Sus scrofa: one gene and its partner. The protein of the gene in region 1 purifies or fractionates together with the protein of each later gene. This does not show direct contact. Links are inferred from orthologs where the notes say so. Each region holds a gene or a part of one and is shown in the gene's direction. Other genes may lie near its edges. The genes, in order: PSME4 and PSMA7.

The links.
Region 2: the proteins of PSME4 (region 1) and PSMA7 purify together in Homo sapiens (affinity purification with mass spectrometry; 4 studies listed by BioGRID and IntAct, with this or other methods). This does not show direct contact. The link is inferred for Sus scrofa from reciprocal best matches to the Homo sapiens genes PSME4 and PSMA7.

Annotation. Positions count from the first base shown.
Region 1 is NC_010445.4:87,276,478-87,280,283, forward strand, and holds part of PSME4 (proteasome activator complex subunit 4), read left to right. Parts: intron 1-913; coding exon 914-1,006; intron 1,007-1,530; coding exon 1,531-1,796; intron 1,797-3,806. UniProt on the Homo sapiens protein: Associated component of the proteasome that specifically recognizes acetylated histones and promotes ATP- and ubiquitin-independent degradation of core histones during spermatogenesis and DNA damage response.
Region 2 is NC_010459.5:61,568,563-61,572,924, reverse strand, and holds the start of PSMA7 (proteasome subunit alpha type-7), read left to right. Parts: upstream 1-1,408; 5' UTR 1,409-1,559; coding exon 1,560-1,655; intron 1,656-3,364; coding exon 3,365-3,491; intron 3,492-4,052; coding exon 4,053-4,177; intron 4,178-4,362. Other genes in the region: SS18L1 (calcium-responsive transactivator), read right to left, coding at 984-1,052.

The DNA of each region.
Region 1 (3,806 bases):
TCTTGGCAAGGCCGTATCCTTAACCCACTAACTAAGGCCAGGGATCAAACCTGTGTCCTCATGAATCCTACTCAGATTCGTTTCCCCTGAGCCATGATGGGAACTCCCTGATTCTTTTTTAATTGAAATATAGTTAACCTATAATACTATATTAGTTTCAGGTATATTACATAGTGATTTGACATTTGCATGCATTATGAATCTGTGCTGTTCCTTGAAAGATCATCTTGAGAGAAGTTTCAAGGCCAAGTTGTAATCCTTTATTCCCAGAATTGTTCGGCTTGATTAGATAAATGCTATCTTTTTTCTCATTTTTCCTTCTCCAATTATATTGTTGTTTGGTTGGTTGTTTTATGTTTGTTTTGGAAATAAATTAAGAAAAAAATTTTTTTTCTTTTGAGTCAAAATATGGTCAAATATAACAGATTTAATCACTTGAACCATTTAGAAGTAATAATAAAATATTTGAATGCATTTATGTACATCTCACCTCTTTATTTCTTGCAGTAAGAGATTCTTCATTTAAGGAATGCTTTTTATGCCTGATGTTACCACCCTTGGTTATATTAAGGTCATAATCTTAGTGATAAAAGATTACTAAGATTCACTAGATTAATAAGATTTACTTATTTGACCACAAAGAGTAAATGATACTGTTACTCTAAACTGAAAGATGTCTTTTTCTGTTTTTCTGATTTGTTTTAGTAAGTTGCCCTTATTTTTAGTAGACTGTCTTGATTTGTATGCAGTTCATCTGGGAAGTGTTTTTGACTTTTGTTTAGAGGTAGAATTGACTTTTGCCCACAGGATGACTATGAGTCACATTAGAGATTCATATGTAGGTCTGGGCCTATTAACTTCAGTTTTACAGAATATTGTGGGTACTGATATTTTTGCTCTTTGATCTGATCAGGGTGGACCAAGTAAGCTAGTGCAAAAACACTTGGCCGGTTTATTTAACAGCATCACATCTTTTTACCATCCTTCCAATAATGGCCGCTGGCTGGTAAGTTCATATTTTACTCTTAAGGTTTGGAATTTTTAAAAGATAATAGTCACATGTAACTATTCTCTATTATGTAACCTATGCACATTTTCTGTCTTTTATATAAGCTTTGGCTGTAGGTCAGTGATTTAAGTTCACATTGGTTACTGTTTTCATAGAAAATACAGAAATAAAGAATACTAGTGTGGTAACTGGTGACAAAATGCCATAAAACCATGGAATCGTCTTTTCAGTTTTTTTGTGTTTGATTTTTTTTTTTATGTTGGATGGTTAAAATGGCTTGTCATGTTATGGAGGATTCATGTGGTGCTAGAGCTAGAAATTAAAACTGAAATTAGGAATAGATGTTTATTATTGTGAATGGTTACTTGGTAAGAGTATTTTATTCTATCTAATTAGGCTGTTCAGGTCTTTGTAATAAGATTATAGTCTGCTATTTAAAAATCTTTCCTTGGGAGGATAAAGAGGAACTATGAATATCTGTAGCAGAACCTACCTAGGACCTTCTGCTTCTGTGTCCCCAGAACAAGTTAATGAAACTACTTCAGCGGTTGCCAAGCAGTGTTGTTAGAAGATTACATCGTGAAAGATACAAGAAGCCTTCTTGGTTAACTCCAGTGCCTGATAGCCATAAGCTTTCTGATCAAGATGTTACAGACTTTGTACAATGCATTATTCAGCCTGTCCTCTTGGCTATGTTTAGCAAAACTGGTAGTTTAGAAGCAGCCCAGGCTCTGCAGAATCTTGCACTCATGAGACCTGAGTTAGTAATACCCCCTGTACTTGAAAGGTAAGTGTGTCTTAAATGTTTCATTGAAGCCTCAGCCATGACTACTGTTGATGCTGGTTATCTCTTTCCTCCACTCTTCTGTTTATTTTTCTTTTCTTTTCTGTGGCTACTGTTCTGCTATCTTGGTGCTTATTCCTGTCCTTAGAGGAGAAGTAAGACATTTTAACCTAATGATTGATAACTTCATAAAAGTTTATTGGAGAGAAAAGAAGATTGCCATGAAATGGATAAAATAAGCATTTCAAAATATGTGCACATTTTAGTTGGTTTTGCCCATAAGTAAAACTCTCGCTATTTTTTCATAAAATGTGAATGCCACTAAATATTGAGGACATTGGCAGTAAAAGTGATTTTGGATTTCTGTTATGTCTTAGAATCAGTGATGGAAAAGAAAATTTGGTTATGTTTATTATTTTCGTGTATTGTATAACATTTTATGTGTTATTTCTGTAGTGTAGATTTTACTGCATTCATTTTGTTTTGTATGTTGAAACTACAAAAATAGTTCTCTGTTTGCCTCATCACTGTCACAATATAGGCCTAGTGTGTTTCCCAAGAGAGACCCACTAGTAGTTATTTTGTGTGTTTAGGAGCAAATTGCTTAAGCTTTGTGCCACTCATTCCTTTGCTGCCTGAACTTCACCTTAACGGTTCCTCTCTAAATGTCTTTGTCAAAGGTAGAGGAAGAATGTTAGTTTTTGGAGCCTAGAAGGATGTAACAGTTTGAGTTTCATAAAATTCAGCTCTGTCCAAGATCCTTACTGTCAGATGCAGGTGACAGCCTATTTTCCAACTCACTGTTGAAATGGTTAAATCGGTGACATTTACCTGGAGAAGGGTATCCTGTTAAAAGACCTTCACCAAAATGGGGCTCCATCATTAGTAATTTGAGTTACTTGTGCTATTTTGCCCTGTTTTCTTCACCGTGAATATTTAAGTTGCACTTCATTTCCCAGCCTCTCCTTTTTTTTTTTTTTTTTTTTTTTTTTTTTATGTACATGGCTTGGGGCTCTGAAACTTTTAGAACATATAACTTAATTGGGAAATAGAATGAGGAAGTTAGGCAGCTTCTCCTGTCTTCAGCTCTCCCTCACTGTTCCGTGCTTACTTGACCCTCATGTGGTAGCAGGCACTGATAGTCAGTGGCAGGTCCCTTGATGCTTTTAGGACAGGAGACTTAGCTCTAAAGGGTGCGTCGGGGGAGGAGGATGGAATAGGCTTCAGTGGTTTACAAGTTAAATTTTGAACTCAAATATTTTGGTGTTTCTTTCCTTCCCATTTATTTTGCCTTGTTTCAGTGGTTTCCAGCTGATTAATTATGTAGTGAGATAAATTTTTAGCAGGAGGAACAAAGCTTGTACATACAAATATAGTTATACATCACATTTTCCTTTAGTTCTCAGTTTTTGAATAAATTTAATAATAGCATATTCTGATCTTAGCCAAGATTAATATTAAGTTGACAAAACTGATAGTACATGACATTTTTTGGCACTCTTTCAGTTGTAATTTTGTCCTGTTAGAAGTGGCATGGCTACCTTTGCCTTTCTTTGAAGGTTTTTCTTTGTTTTTTTTCTTTTAGAAAAACAAAAGTTGGAATTCCCGTCGTGGCTCAGTGGTTAACGAATCCGACTAGGAACCATGAGGTTTCGGGTTCGATCCCTGGCCTTGCTCAGTGGGTTAACGATCCGGCATTGCCGTGGGCTGTGGTGTAGGTCGCAGACTGAGGCTGGGATCCCTCATTGCTGTGGCTCTGGCGTAGGCCGGTGGCTACAGCTCCAATTAGACCCCTAGCCTGGGAACCTCCATATGCCACCGCAGCAGCCCAGGAAGTGGCAAAAAGGAAAAAAAAAAGAAAAGAAAAAGTCTTAAAAAGTAAACATACAGAAAAAAAATTTTAGACACAAGTTTTGCATCTCCTGAAGACAGCCTCTGTTAAAGAGTTTTGGGTTTATTTTATTTATTTTTTAAAATAAGCATAGGTTTGGTTACTTTTTTTAAAATTTAGTT
Region 2 (4,362 bases), on another chromosome or scaffold:
AACAGAAGCAGTAAAAATTTTAAATTTCCATTTCAAAACCTAAGACTTGTATTAAAATGTCCCCAAACCCACGTGAAGGTTATGTCTAGGAAACCACGAGGCCAAACTTATAGCACGCAGGCAAGGCTGTAAAACCAGTCTGTAAAGTTTTGTTAGGTGAAGAGGCTGGCGAAGTGTCAAGGCTGAAAAGCAGCGTGACACTCCAATAAGAGCGGCCGGCCAGCCGGCCCCGAGGCGTGGAGCGCTCCTTAAAGGGCTGCGGGGCTGCAAGACCGGCGCCCTCACTCTGGATGCACCTCTTTGTGCCTCGTAATGCCAGCACCTAAATGGCAGGCGGGGCCGGCGGCTGGGACGGATCCCCGTCGCCCCATGTGCCCCGTGCGCCCTCCACCAGCCAAACTGCGCGCGGGGGCGGGGGGCCGCCCACGGCGCAGCGTCACCACTTTCCCAGTCAGGAGGGTCCCCTCGGCGCACCGGGCGGCTCGCAGACACCACCCTGCGGACGCCCGGTCCGGACGCCGTGCACCCGCACCCCGGCCCCGAAGGCGACGGGTCTCCACTGTCCCCGGCGGGGCCCGGGGTCGTCCCTGGCTTGGCTCTGCGGACATCACCCTGCAGACAACATCCCTTGGACACCACCCTGCGGGCACCCGGTCCTGCCGCCCTGCGCTCCTGCCCCGCGGCCCCGGGCCCAGAAGACGGCGCGTCCCCACTGTGGCCGGTGAGGCCCGGGGTCGTTCCGGGCTGGGCTCCGAGGACACCACCCCACGCGCCGCCTTGAGCCCCAACCCACCGCCCCCGCGCACCCCCGCCCACATTGGCGCACGCTGGCCACAGAGCGCGCGCGGGGCCCCAGCGGGGTCGCGGCGGTCGGCTGCGCCCCGGCTTTGTTCGCGCCCCGCGCCCGCCGGCTGCCCTCGACCCGGCCCAGCGCCCGCCCGCACCCCGTGGCCCCCAGCCCGGGACCGCGGCCCCCAGCCCACCTTCTGGATGGTTTGCTGCGTGACCTCCCCTTTGCCTCTCGGCCGGGCGGACGCGAAGGCCACCGACATGGTCGCGGGCGCAGGATCAGCCCGAGATCATCGGGGTTTATTCTCCGGCTGCGCTCGGCGGCCAGAGGCGCTCATTCTCCGCAGTCGCTGGGGGGCGGGGGGCGCGGGGGGTGCTGCGCCGTGGACTCGCCCGCCCCTCCGTCGCCGCGTTGCCTCCGGACCCGCCGCCTCGCCGCTCCGCGCGCCGCCGCAGCCTGAGACCGAGCTCCGCGCGGCGCCCCCGGGCGGCCGCCTCGCGCTCCGCGCCGGGCCCGCCGCCGCCGCCACCGCCGCCGCCGCCGCACCGCCCCCCGCGCCCGGCCGTCGGTGGTTCGGCCCGGCCCCGCCCCGGCGCGCGCACGTCGCCCGACGCCGCCTTACGCCCGCCTTACGCCAGCAGCGCAGTCGGCGGCGCCGGGGGCGGACGGGCGCGCGGCGCGGGCGCGGGCGCAGCGACGTCGTGAATCGCGGGCTGCGCGGGCCGTGAGTGTGCGCTTTTCCCGGGTCCGGCCGCGTCGCCCCGCCGGCATGAGCTACGACCGCGCCATCACCGTCTTTTCGCCCGACGGCCACCTCTTCCAAGTGGAGTACGCGCAGGAGGCCGTGAAGAAGGGCTCGACTGCGGTGAGCGGCGGCCCCGCGGGGCCTGCACGTCCGGGGATGGGCAGGGCCCGGGCGGCTGGGGAGGCCGCGCTGACCGGCGCCGAGTGCTTCGGGCTCGGGTAGCACAGGGGCGGGGGGGCGCACGGCAGCCGTCACGTGGGGCTTGCTTCGGGAAGGGGCGCTGCGGACCGTGGCCTGCAGACCGCAGGCCTTGGGGCTCCTCCGGTGTCCGGAGCCGAGCGCGCCTGCCGGCGGCGCCATTTTGGGGGTTCGGGGGCCGCGGCTGGGCGGGGGGGGGGGGCTCCGAGCGGCGGGCCAGCCCCTTACCCGGAACGCGCCTTAAGGCACCAAATGATTTGCGCGAACGGCATGCGGACCGCTCCCAGTGAGGGGGCTTCCCCGACCGGGAAAGCAGTGGGCCGGCTTCGAGGACAAAGGGCGGCCGCCGGGCTCAGCAGCAGCCCTGCCGTCCCCGGGCAGCCCGGCGCAGCTGGCAGGCCCCTCCGGGTGTGACCGCCCCCCTCGTCCCCTCGCACCTGAGCGCGGCTGTCGTTTAGGCCGCGGTTTGAAACGTAAATGCAATGGTGCCTTCAGTACGCTTGGCAGTTTGCTTATTGGCTAAACTGTACGATGGTTTTTATTTTATTATTTGGTGTGTCAGAGGTTTGGCCAGAGAGAAAACACACGATTCTGTGAATCTTGGAAGTATTTTCATCTCTTGAACCTCTTCTGCAATGGGGGCTCCAAATCCACCTTGCGACCTATTTCAGCTTAGAGACTAGTGGGGGAGTCGCCTGGCACCTGTCTCCCCCCGCCCCCATTGCATGTGGGGCCCGCCGGCAGGCTACCTTTCTTTAACCAGCGCCTCTGAGCAGGGCCTTCTTGTCTTTGGGAGCTTTAAAGACCAGGTCAGTTTGTAGGAAAGTTGCTTGAAACTTGGAAACACAGCCGACCAGGGCTTCTCTGCAGCCCAGGGGGCGTTTGGCAACGGCCAGGAGACTTCTAGAGGCAGAGGCCGGGCAGAGGCCGGGCGGACGGTAAGCATCCTTCAGTGAGCCGGGCCGCCCTCACATCCAAGAATTGGCGGGCCCGGTGCCCACAGTCCTGAGGCTCAGAAGCCCTGCTCTGGGCTCGGGCGGATGTCGCTCTGCCCAGTGACCGTTTCATGCGCAGCGGCTGCTGTTCCCATTGAGGGCTGTCGACAGGCAATCGTGATTTTTTTCCCCATGTGCGTAAGACATCCTTCTACCTGCGAAGCGACAGCCAGAAACAGCCAGTGGCCTCCCGGGGGTAGCTGACACGTCCACCTGGTCACATCAGGCACTTGCCCACTGCCGTGCACACAGGTTACCGAAGTGCGGGAGCGGGGAGGGTTTGGGTGTGACTTCACAGCCACGCAACACTGCTTTCAGGACAGCTATTTCTGTGTTAAGGACTCAGGCCTAAAGGCTTTACGCCGAATTCCGAATCATGGGGTTGAAGGGGCACATACACGTGGGTCACACACGGTGGTGGTTTTCAGTTGAACTGAAACTGAAGCCTAAGGCCAAGAGTGGGCACCTGGCTGGCGACGCCTGAGGTAGTTGTGCATAAGCGGGTCCAGCCCCACGGTTTGCAGGCTGTGCGTGCCCCCTGCCCCAGTGGTCATGGGGCCGCGGCAACAGCCGCTCTTCGTGCTCTGGGCTGGGATCGCGTCACACGTTTAAGTGCCACGGTGATGCCCGTTGAAGGTTGGCGTCCGCGGAAGGGACATCGTCGTCCTCGGCGTGGAGAAGAAGTCGGTGGCCAGGCTGCAGGACGAGCGGACCGTGCGGAAGATCTGCGCCCTGGACGACAACGTCTGCATGGCGTTCGCGGGTGAGCCTGGGGCCGGGGCTCTCCTCCTGCCTCCTACGAGGGTCACCCGGGGAAGCGCTGCCGGGGACGCCCACGCCGGGGAACAGACCGTTTCCAAGAAACAGGTGCGGCCTGCTTCTTGGGCAGGAGGGTCCCTCTCCGGTGGCTGACGCACAGGCTCTCAGCAGACGCCCGGGGTGAGGGGCTGTGCGGTGGCCCCGTGCTTTCAGCGGCATGTCGCCGTGGGAAAGGTGGGGCCGTCCGGCGCTCTGCTGTCAGGTGCGGTCAGCTCCTGTGGTTCCGCTCATCTCCCTCCTCGCTCATCTCCCTCCTCGGCAGGGAGCGCCCGGTTTACCCAATCCAGAGGTTGACTTGCTTTGTCCCGGGACGCGTGCTGGTCGCCCGCCCAGCTTTCTCAGAGAAGCGCGTGGGGGCTGCTGCTTCCGCCGCCAGTCACTCAGGCGCCGCGCTGGGAACCGGGAGCCGGTCTTAGAAGCCGCCAGAGGTTGTGCCGTCCATGCCGTGCTGGTTTGGACCACTGACTGGAAGGTGGGGCTCAGGCTAGCTCTCCGGTCACCGCAGGCCTCACCGCGGACGCACGGATAGTCATCAACAGGGCGCGGGTGGAGTGCCAGAGCCACCGGCTGACCGTGGAGGACCCGGTCACTGTGGAGTACATCACCCGCTACATCGCCAGCCTGAAGCAGGTAGGCGCCGCCTGCCCTGGGTCGGCTCCCGTCACGGGGCCGTCACCAGTTAGTGTCCTGCTGCGGGTGCGTCACGGGGGTTCAGCAGCAGCCTCACGGGGTGGTCCTCGCCTGCCTCGTGTAACTTCCCATCCTTCGCCTAGTGGTACCTGAAATTTTCTTCTTACGAGGTGATGTGGGCTCAT